3 linked regions of the Saccharomyces cerevisiae S288C genome follow. The protein of the gene in region 2 interacts with the protein of the main gene of each other region in a biochemical or structural test. Each region holds a gene or a part of one and is shown on either strand. Other genes may lie near its edges.

What was found.
Region 1: the proteins of MTR2 (region 2) and LSG1 form a complex in vitro, tested with the Saccharomyces cerevisiae proteins (one study listed by BioGRID).
Region 3: the proteins of MTR2 (region 2) and YVH1 form a complex in vitro, tested with the Saccharomyces cerevisiae proteins (one study listed by BioGRID).

What each region holds. Positions count from the first base shown.
Region 1 is NC_001139.9:313,014-317,208, forward strand, and holds LSG1 (ribosome biogenesis GTPase LSG1), read left to right. Parts: upstream 1-1,617; coding exon 1,618-3,540; downstream 3,541-4,195. Other genes in the region: SEH1 (Seh1p), read left to right, coding at 221-1,270. UniProt on the Saccharomyces cerevisiae protein: GTPase required for the nuclear export of the 60S ribosomal subunit. Acts by mediating the release of NMD3 from the 60S ribosomal subunit after export into the cytoplasm.
Region 2 is NC_001143.9:92,176-94,947, reverse strand, and holds MTR2 (Mtr2p), read left to right. Parts: upstream 1-1,649; coding exon 1,650-2,204; downstream 2,205-2,772. Other genes in the region: DNA-binding transcription repressor ASH1, read right to left, coding at 1-449. UniProt on the Saccharomyces cerevisiae protein: Affects mRNA transport from the nucleus to the cytoplasm.
Region 3 is NC_001141.2:404,343-407,932, reverse strand, and holds YVH1 (tyrosine protein phosphatase YVH1), read left to right. Parts: upstream 1-1,965; coding exon 1,966-3,060; downstream 3,061-3,590. Other genes in the region: DAL1 (allantoinase), read left to right, coding at 291-1,673; MND2 (Mnd2p), read right to left, coding at 3,168-3,590. UniProt on the Saccharomyces cerevisiae protein: May be directly involved in signal transduction and/or cell cycle regulation. It is necessary for maintaining growth rate or spore germination. Could show both activity toward tyrosine-protein phosphate as well as with serine-protein phosphate.

The sequences.
Region 1 (4,195 bases), on a different chromosome or scaffold from region 2:
AATAATCTTTTGTATATTATTCGCGATTGAATGTGCGTGCTGCATTATCAACCAAGTTTTAATATATCTGTTTCTCTTATTTATTGTTAGTTAAGTCTTCGGCAAAACGATGGAAAAAATCATGAACTGAATAGAGACAAGTAAACCAAATTATAAACAAGGTTTCCCTTCTGAAGAGATACTAAGGAAGAAGAAGAACGACCCAATAATATTTCTGAATATGCAACCATTTGATAGTGGGCATGATGATTTAGTTCATGATGTCGTTTATGACTTTTACGGAAGACATGTGGCAACATGCTCTTCTGATCAACATATTAAAGTTTTTAAATTAGACAAGGACACGAGTAATTGGGAACTCAGTGACTCATGGAGAGCTCACGACAGTAGTATCGTGGCCATTGATTGGGCCAGTCCAGAATATGGGCGCATCATTGCTTCAGCCTCTTACGATAAGACGGTAAAATTATGGGAAGAAGATCCCGACCAAGAAGAATGCTCTGGCCGTCGTTGGAACAAGCTGTGTACCCTGAATGATTCCAAAGGATCACTTTATAGTGTAAAATTTGCGCCAGCGCATTTGGGCTTAAAATTAGCTTGTTTGGGTAACGATGGAATCCTCAGACTTTATGATGCCTTAGAACCTTCTGACCTAAGGTCATGGACACTGACTTCTGAGATGAAAGTGCTATCTATACCACCAGCAAATCATTTACAGTCTGATTTTTGTCTCTCTTGGTGTCCTTCGAGATTTTCTCCTGAAAAGCTCGCAGTCTCTGCATTGGAACAAGCGATTATATACCAAAGGGGTAAAGACGGTAAACTTCACGTTGCAGCAAAACTTCCCGGTCATAAAAGTTTAATAAGAAGTATCAGCTGGGCTCCTTCCATTGGTAGATGGTATCAACTCATTGCAACAGGTTGCAAAGATGGTAGAATTAGAATTTTCAAAATCACAGAAAAACTAAGTCCCCTGGCCTCAGAGGAGTCTTTAACTAACTCAAATATGTTTGATAATAGTGCTGATGTTGACATGGATGCACAGGGCAGATCAGACTCAAATACCGAAGAGAAAGCTGAGCTACAATCAAACTTGCAAGTTGAACTTCTAAGCGAGCATGATGACCATAATGGCGAAGTTTGGTCCGTGTCTTGGAATTTAACGGGTACAATCTTAAGCAGTGCTGGGGATGATGGGAAGGTACGTTTATGGAAAGCCACTTATTCAAATGAATTTAAGTGTATGTCAGTAATTACTGCCCAACAATAAATAAGAATATATGTATACATAACATTATATATTGGTACTTTATACGTGTGCATTATTCTGTATAATACGAGGCAACAGATGAATCAAGAAAGATGATGCTTTTAAAAAGCTCTTACAAATATAATGATATTACATCAAATGATATTATTATTCTTGATATTGGGTATTCTTTCGAATTATATCAAGCTTCCCTTCCCTCGCCTTTTCGCCTGGAAATTTTTCAATGCCGAGATTAAAAAATTTGTCAATGAAAATGCATTCTACTACTTAATAAAGAGGTGATGAGCTTATAAGCCAACTTCTTTTAAACACAAAACTAAATCTGATATTGAGGACCCCCACCAACTATGCCACCAAAAGAAGCTCCCAAGAAATGGAAGGCGCCAAAAGGGCCAAAACCTACCCACCGTAAAAATAAAAATAAGCTTGAATTAGGCAGAGCTATTAAATATGCACGTCAAAAAGAAAATGCCATCGAGTATTTACCTGATGGTGAAATGAGGTTCACTACCGATAAGCATGAGGCCAACTGGGTTAAATTAAGATCTGTAACTCAAGAATCAGCTTTAGATGAATTCTTGAGTACAGCTGCACTGGCAGACAAAGATTTCACGGCCGATAGACATTCAAATGTTAAAATTATTAGAATGGATAGCGGTAATGATTCTGCGACATCTCAAGGGTTTTCTATGACTAATGAGCAGCGTGGAAATCTTAATGCGAAGCAAAGAGCGCTTGCTAAGGATTTGATTGTTCCAAGGAGGCCTGAATGGAACGAGGGCATGTCCAAGTTTCAGCTTGATAGGCAAGAAAAGGAAGCGTTTTTAGAATGGAGAAGAAAATTGGCACATTTACAAGAAAGCAATGAAGACTTGTTGTTAACACCGTTTGAAAGAAATATCGAAGTTTGGAAACAGTTATGGAGAGTTGTTGAAAGATCAGATTTAGTTGTTCAAATTGTAGATGCGAGGAATCCGTTGCTGTTTAGATCTGTCGATTTAGAAAGATATGTAAAAGAGTCAGATGACAGAAAAGCAAACTTACTGCTAGTTAATAAAGCAGATTTATTGACCAAAAAGCAACGTATCGCTTGGGCAAAGTACTTTATCTCCAAGAATATTTCGTTCACGTTTTACTCTGCATTGAGAGCTAATCAATTATTGGAGAAACAAAAGGAAATGGGGGAAGATTATAGAGAACAAGATTTCGAGGAAGCTGATAAAGAAGGGTTCGATGCTGATGAAAAAGTTATGGAAAAAGTTAAAATTCTGTCCATTGACCAACTGGAAGAATTGTTTTTATCAAAAGCTCCAAACGAGCCTTTATTGCCACCTCTGCCCGGTCAACCTCCACTGATTAATATTGGTTTGGTTGGTTATCCAAATGTAGGTAAATCCTCCACTATTAATTCGCTCGTGGGTGCCAAGAAAGTTTCTGTTTCATCCACGCCTGGTAAAACAAAACACTTCCAAACTATTAAGTTATCTGATTCTGTCATGCTTTGTGACTGTCCCGGTCTTGTCTTCCCAAACTTTGCATATAACAAGGGTGAGCTCGTGTGTAATGGTGTTTTACCTATTGATCAATTACGTGATTATATTGGTCCAGCAGGTTTAGTAGCAGAAAGAATACCAAAGTATTACATTGAAGCGATTTATGGTATCCATATTCAAACCAAATCAAGGGATGAAGGTGGGAATGGGGATATACCAACTGCTCAAGAATTGTTAGTCGCATACGCCAGAGCTCGTGGTTATATGACTCAAGGTTACGGTTCTGCTGATGAACCAAGAGCAAGTCGTTATATATTGAAAGATTACGTCAATGGGAAATTACTGTATGTCAACCCTCCGCCCCATCTAGAGGATGATACACCTTACACTAGAGAAGAGTGTGAAGAATTTAACAAAGATTTATATGTGTTCGACAGATTACCGGACACCAGAAAGGAGCAAGTGCAAAATGCTGCTAAGGCTAAAGGCATTGATATCGTGGATTTAGCTCGTGATTTGAATCAGCTAACGTTTTCAGCTCACACTGGTGGTGACACACAAAAAGAAGCCAAATCTGTTACGCACGGTGGTAAACAAGCTGCATTGTACAATGCCGCTGAGGACTTGGATAGAGACTTCTTCAAGATGAACAACGTCGAAGGTAGATTAAGTACACCATTCCACAAAGTTCAAAATAGTTCAGCTGGTAAGAGACATAACAAAAAAAACAAAAGTAAAAATGCGAAAAGCAAAGTTTTTAGCATTGAAAATAATTAGCGGTAACTAACATATATCTTCTCAAAAAAACTGTGTACTATTATCTTTTCATCTCGCCAATTAATGACAGCGTTATTTGAGAATAGACCTAAGATAATAAAACTATGTTCGTTACCCGGACAAATTTTCTTGGAAGAATTTTTGAGTCCTAGAGATATTATAAAACGGCCCTCTATTAATTTGCTCTTTCTTTCCTCAGTTTAATTCTTCTTTCGAATAAAAAATAAAAATATCATGGCTCTTCAACACATTTCAACATGTTCAAGTAATTTGTGTTAGTGGATGACCATTTAGGGGCTGCTGGCCTGGTTACCGGGAGTTTTTCTTGGATCCAAGCTAGCTTTTCCGTCTGATTATCCTTAAGCTTCACAAATTACAATTTTTCCCACGCATTAAGAAATAAGCTCAAGATGCCTAAAATAAGTTCTATCCCGCCTTTTTTCGCTAACAATGACTGAGTATTCCCACAGTCTATAGTTTGATAGTAGATGGGCGGAAATTTTTCTCATATATTTACTTTTTATAGGAGAGTATATTTACGTACGTATAGTGATTGCATGTAGTTGCTCCCTATATCTTGTCATATGAGCGTGATACTGACCGATACCTGTTACAGATGTCGGTCTGGATTTGTTCGTTTTTCTTCCCTAAAGTA
Region 2 (2,772 bases):
ACGGACGATAGCCTGTCTAACAATGGTAGTCGAGGTTGTGAATTAGAGGAAAAACCTAAGCCAGACCCATAGTTCAATGGATTTGTAAAACTAATCTGAGATAAGCTTGCCTTGTTGAATTCTGGTGAATTGCCTGGTGTTAATGAGGAAATTGGATTGTAATCCATATGATGTGGCGATGCTGGTGCAGTATTTGATTTTTTTCCAAGTATTTCGTTAGCCAAAGATATTGGGGAAAGAATTGGCGACACATTGAGCGAATGAAACGAATACTTCCTAGGACTTGCTGAATTTATATTGTTATCGGTTGTGATATTGTTCCTGCTGATATTACTGGATAAATTGGAAAATGAAGGCAATAAAAGATTGTCATAATAGGAGCTATTTGCATGAGAATCCGGACCAGCAGATAATGCATGCAGTGGTGTTTTGATGTATAAGCTTGACATTTTTTTGCTTTTCCCGTTATGAGAAATGTTTTTTTTAGACTGAAAATAAAAGAATGGATAGTATTAAAATAGTAATGAACGTAATAAGGATAGGACAGGAGCGATAGGAAAAGATAGAATTTTGGAGCTTTTTTTCCCTCTTTTTTTGAGCAGGAGCCAATAGTAGTCGGAAAGATGAGTGTATAGATTTTTCGTATTTTATTTCGAGTAAAAATATCACGCTCTTAGGTTCAATAAAAGAATATACTATTTCTTCAAAATGCTTCTCTAATCTATTTTTTTATTTTCCTTAATAACTGAAATATTATTTTTTGATGTAAAATGAGTGAACAAGAATAAAGGATTTTTGGTATGTTTGCAAGTTCTGTGGAGTTCCATGTATAAGGTATACATATTAGAAAAGCTTTACGATTATATACTAACATCATGTACAAAACAGTTTAATAATGATCTGTATTGCTGGCTCAATCCACGTAAGGAAAATGATCAGCCCAATCCTCAAAAATAAAATGGCCCTTCCAAAATTAGAGACATATCGTAGAAATCAGACGCACGCTTGGCGTCAATATCCTAAAACGGAAAACTAATCAGTTAGATGTGTCTTTTTTAGGTAAAAAAAGGCAACCAACTTTTTGCTGGCTAGCGATGCGACAATAAACGCGCGCAGCGAATAAAAATAAGATGGCGGAGGAGCAGAGACTTCTTTTCTTAGAAGAGGTTTTGTTACCGTATGGGGGTATGATGGTTAGATGGCTGAATAAAAACGTTAATTAAAGGAATACAGAAGAGGAAGCGCCCCGATTTCTTTTCTGTTCCACATGAAAGCAGCCGGTTGGGTGGTAGATCTCTAATGACATCCAAACTACAAAACCGAGATTGGACATATAGCACACTCTGCATTTCTACTTTCCTTTCTCCCTACAGTTTGCTCGATCTGAACCGATGCTTCTTTGATTGGACAAGATGATAGACCATGACTCCCTGTATGTATTGCAGAGATTGCCACTACTAACCAAGAAAAGTTGAACGTGTCGTACGTATAAAACGATTTATGCTTAGGCTTTACTGAAAAAAAAAAAGTAAAAAGAGGATGCGCAAACGCATAGAGCAAGTAACTAACCTGTTTTTATAGTATATACTTGGCCCCACCAGGCTGATCGTCAGGCAAAACGCCAAACTAATAACAGTAATAACAGAAATATGAACACCAATAGTAATACTATGGTAATGAATGACGCAAATCAAGCACAAATAACGGCCACATTTACGAAGAAGATATTAGCGCATTTGGATGATCCGGACTCCAACAAATTGGCCCAATTCGTACAGCTTTTTAATCCAAACAACTGCAGAATAATATTTAATGCTACCCCCTTCGCGCAAGCAACAGTTTTTCTGCAAATGTGGCAAAACCAGGTCGTACAAACACAACATGCCCTAACAGGAGTAGACTATCACGCTATTCCGGGATCCGGCACGTTGATATGCAACGTCAATTGCAAAGTCAGATTCGACGAAAGCGGCAGAGACAAGATGGGGCAAGACGCGACTGTTCCCATTCAACCAAATAACACTGGGAACAGAAATCGACCCAACGATATGAACAAGCCAAGACCTCTATGGGGTCCATATTTTGGCATTTCCCTGCAGCTGATCATCGACGACCGCATATTTAGAAATGATTTTAATGGTGTAATATCGGGGTTTAACTATAACATGGTTTACAAACCCGAGGATTCTCTGCTAAAAATTTAGTGGGAAGATTCCGCTCTACCAGGGAAAAACAAAATTATATAGAAAAGAAGGTAAGTAATAAGTAATACGAAAAAACCCAAAAAAAAAATTCAAATACCCCAACCCTGTGCCCTTTCTATTTTTATGGTTGAAAAGGTTACAGAGGATCCTCTGGAGCGGTGACAACAGTTGACGCAATCATGGTCCCTGGCGGTCCCTAAGGATATCTCGGAGGAACCGAGGCACGGAAACGGCTGCACGGGTACGCCAGATAAGGATAATTCAGCCGTCACGCATGAACAGAAGGATGAGCATTTGCTCACCTTCCTGGACTTAACTTGCGTGAATGAAAAGAAGAACACCAATGTTAGAGTAGGGCTTCGCACCAAACTTTAATCAAGAAATCTGAGGAGAAATGATTCTAAGTCTAGCCACGAAAACTGCAAAGCGCACCAAAAGTAAGAAACGACAAAGTTTTTCTAGCATTTTTTTGTTTCATCAAGAGAAGAAACACGATTTATATAACTGTTACCGCTAAAACCTACATCTAAACTTTTTAATATCTGAAAGCGCTAGTCGTGTGTACCCC
Region 3 (3,590 bases), on a different chromosome or scaffold from region 2:
TTGTCCCTTACTGCGGATCATCGAATAGGCGCAAATGTGTTGATGGTGGACTGATGGAACTTTATCAGGAGAAGTGGTTCAAAATTGCGGTGCTTAATTATCTATATAGAGGAGGCATATCTCATCGAAGGGGACAATGATGAGGTAACGCAAAAGTGATGAGTTTCTACTGGTATCTTGTAATTGAAGGTACCCCTTTTTCTTTTAGCTATCTTTAATTAGGTTAGAAAAGTGTATATTTCGCAAAAACGTATAGGCAAAAAAAAAGTGAAATACTGCGAAGAACAAAGATGCCTATCAATGCCATCACTTCCGACCATGTCATTATCAATGGTGCAAATAAACCTGCGACTATTGTGTATTCGACCGAATCAGGCACGATTCTGGATGTTTTAGAAGGCTCCGTGGTTATGGAGAAAACTGAGATAACCAAATATGAAATACATACGCTGGAGAACGTATCTCCATGTACAATTCTGCCTGGACTTGTGGACTCTCATGTTCACTTGAACGAGCCCGGTAGGACTAGCTGGGAAGGATTCGAAACTGGAACTCAAGCTGCTATTAGTGGCGGGGTCACAACGGTGGTTGATATGCCGCTAAATGCTATTCCTCCCACAACAAATGTGGAGAATTTCCGAATTAAATTGGAAGCTGCTGAGGGCCAAATGTGGTGCGATGTTGGGTTTTGGGGTGGACTGGTACCACACAACTTGCCAGACTTAATTCCGCTTGTCAAAGCTGGCGTTCGCGGGTTCAAAGGATTCTTGCTTGATTCTGGTGTGGAAGAATTCCCTCCAATTGGCAAAGAATATATAGAAGAAGCCTTGAAGGTCTTAGCCGAGGAGGATACCATGATGATGTTTCATGCTGAGTTGCCCAAGGCACATGAGGACCAACAGCAACCCGAGCAAAGCCATCGTGAATATTCTTCGTTTTTGTCCTCGAGGCCGGATTCTTTCGAAATAGACGCCATCAATTTGATTCTCGAATGCTTGAGAGCCAGAAATGGACCAGTTCCTCCTGTACATATAGTTCATCTGGCATCAATGAAAGCAATTCCCTTGATCAGAAAGGCACGTGCGTCAGGGCTACCAGTCACAACAGAGACTTGTTTCCACTATTTGTGTATTGCTGCAGAGCAGATCCCAGACGGAGCCACCTACTTTAAATGTTGTCCACCCATCCGCTCTGAGTCTAATCGCCAAGGCCTATGGGACGCTTTGCGTGAAGGTGTTATAGGCTCAGTAGTGAGCGACCATTCGCCATGCACCCCTGAGTTGAAGAACTTGCAAAAAGGTGACTTTTTCGATTCTTGGGGAGGAATCGCTTCCGTCGGACTAGGTTTGCCATTGATGTTTACCCAAGGCTGCTCTTTGGTCGATATCGTTACATGGTGCTGTAAAAATACATCCCATCAGGTAGGACTATCTCACCAAAAAGGCACTATAGCTCCCGGGTACGATGCTGATTTGGTGGTATTTGATACTGCAAGTAAACATAAAATAAGTAATTCAAGTGTCTACTTCAAAAACAAATTGACTGCCTACAACGGGATGACGGTCAAGGGCACAGTTTTGAAAACCATATTAAGAGGCCAGGTGGTATATACGAATGCCAACGGAGTCTCGAAAACACCATTGGGTCAAACTTTGCTTGATTCTAGACGTTAAACTAAAGTTGCAAATTTTTATTAAAGAAATTCTATAGAAATAAAAGAAACAAATTTATAAAAAGTTATTTACACACATACATATATTAACCACTCTTAGTTTGAGATGACACAACTTTTAATGATCTACAATATATCCATCTGGGTCTCCACGGCTGCAATTTTGAAATTTTCTTAGCGCTAAAAAAAAGAAATCTAACTGAAAAAAAAAATTATACCTCAGCTCATCGAATGCATCTAATACAGGTATAACGCAGAGAAAGCAGTAAAAGCAGCAAGAAATTACAGGGAAGATGGCTGGAAATGCAAACTCAGTAGACGAGGAAGTTACCAGGATATTAGGAGGCATATATCTTGGCGGAATCCGTCCAATTATTGACCACAGACCATTGGGTGCAGAATTTAACATTACTCATATTCTTTCTGTTATCAAATTCCAGGTCATTCCAGAGTATCTAATAAGGAAAGGTTACACGCTAAAAAACATACCCATCGATGATGATGATGTGACTGATGTGCTGCAATACTTCGATGAAACGAACCGATTCATTGATCAATGCTTGTTCCCCAATGAAGTTGAGTATTCGCCCAGATTAGTAGATTTCAAGAAGAAACCACAACGTGGTGCTGTTTTTGCTCATTGTCAAGCAGGACTCTCGAGATCTGTAACCTTCATAGTAGCCTACCTAATGTATCGTTATGGATTGTCACTATCAATGGCTATGCACGCTGTCAAGAGGAAGAAACCGAGTGTTGAGCCAAACGAGAATTTCATGGAACAATTACATCTCTTTGAGAAAATGGGTGGAGATTTTGTCGATTTCGACAACCCAGCCTATAAGCAGTGGAAGCTGAAGCAATCTATCAAGTTAGATCCATCGGGCAGCGAATTGGTCTCCAATTCTGGAATGTTTAAAGATTCGGAGTCGTCGCAAGACTTGGATAAATTAACTGAAGCTGAGAAGAGCAAGGTCACCGCAGTGAGATGTAAGAAGTGCAGAACCAAATTGGCGTTATCTACATCTTTCATCGCGCATGACCCACCAAGTAAGGAATCATCAGAGGGACACTTCATCAAGAGGGCCGCCAACTCCCATCGTATTATTGATATTCAAGAGTCACAAGCAAATTGCTCTCATTTTTTCATCGAACCTTTAAAATGGATGCAACCTGAACTACAAGGCAAGCAAGAGTTAGAAGGGAAGTTTTCATGTCCAGGCTGTTCAAGTAAAGTTGGCGGTTACAACTGGAAAGGATCTAGGTGCAGTTGTGGTAAGTGGGTCATCCCCGCTATCCACCTGCAAACTAGTAAAGTGGATCAATTTCCCTTACAATCCACTGCTTTGCCCAACATGGTTAATTTTGAATCCGAGAAAGTAAATAGATAACTTAGATATAATCAGCAAATATAACTACCACTAAGCACTTTTGGTGCACTTGTGTATGTATACATCTTAATAGATAGATGAATTTTGGTGCTGAGGAGAGCATTTTTCTAATCTTGACCTCGTTGCTGCCTGGCTCGTCTCTCCATTAATTCATCTAAACTAGTTATCCTCTCCCTAGTCCAATTCCTCCAATTACTCGCTAGATCAGGTGTAATCCCACCATAAGAAGTCGGCTCTTGGCTGTATTCGCTATTATAATCATGCTCTCTTCCCACGTCATCTTCAAAATCCGGATTCATGTCCAGTTCTACCTTTGAATCTTCTCCGTCGTTATCACTGTCAATATCATATGGGTTTCTATCTAAATGATGAGCCTCTTCCACAAACTGTTGTAGGGAGCGTGACAGTGAAGTGGGTCTCATTAATAAGTCATCCGGCACAATTCTCTCTCTCTGAACTTCTATACCTTCCACACCTTCCCCCGGCACTTCTCCCTCCTCATTATCATCCTCATCTACAACATGATCGAA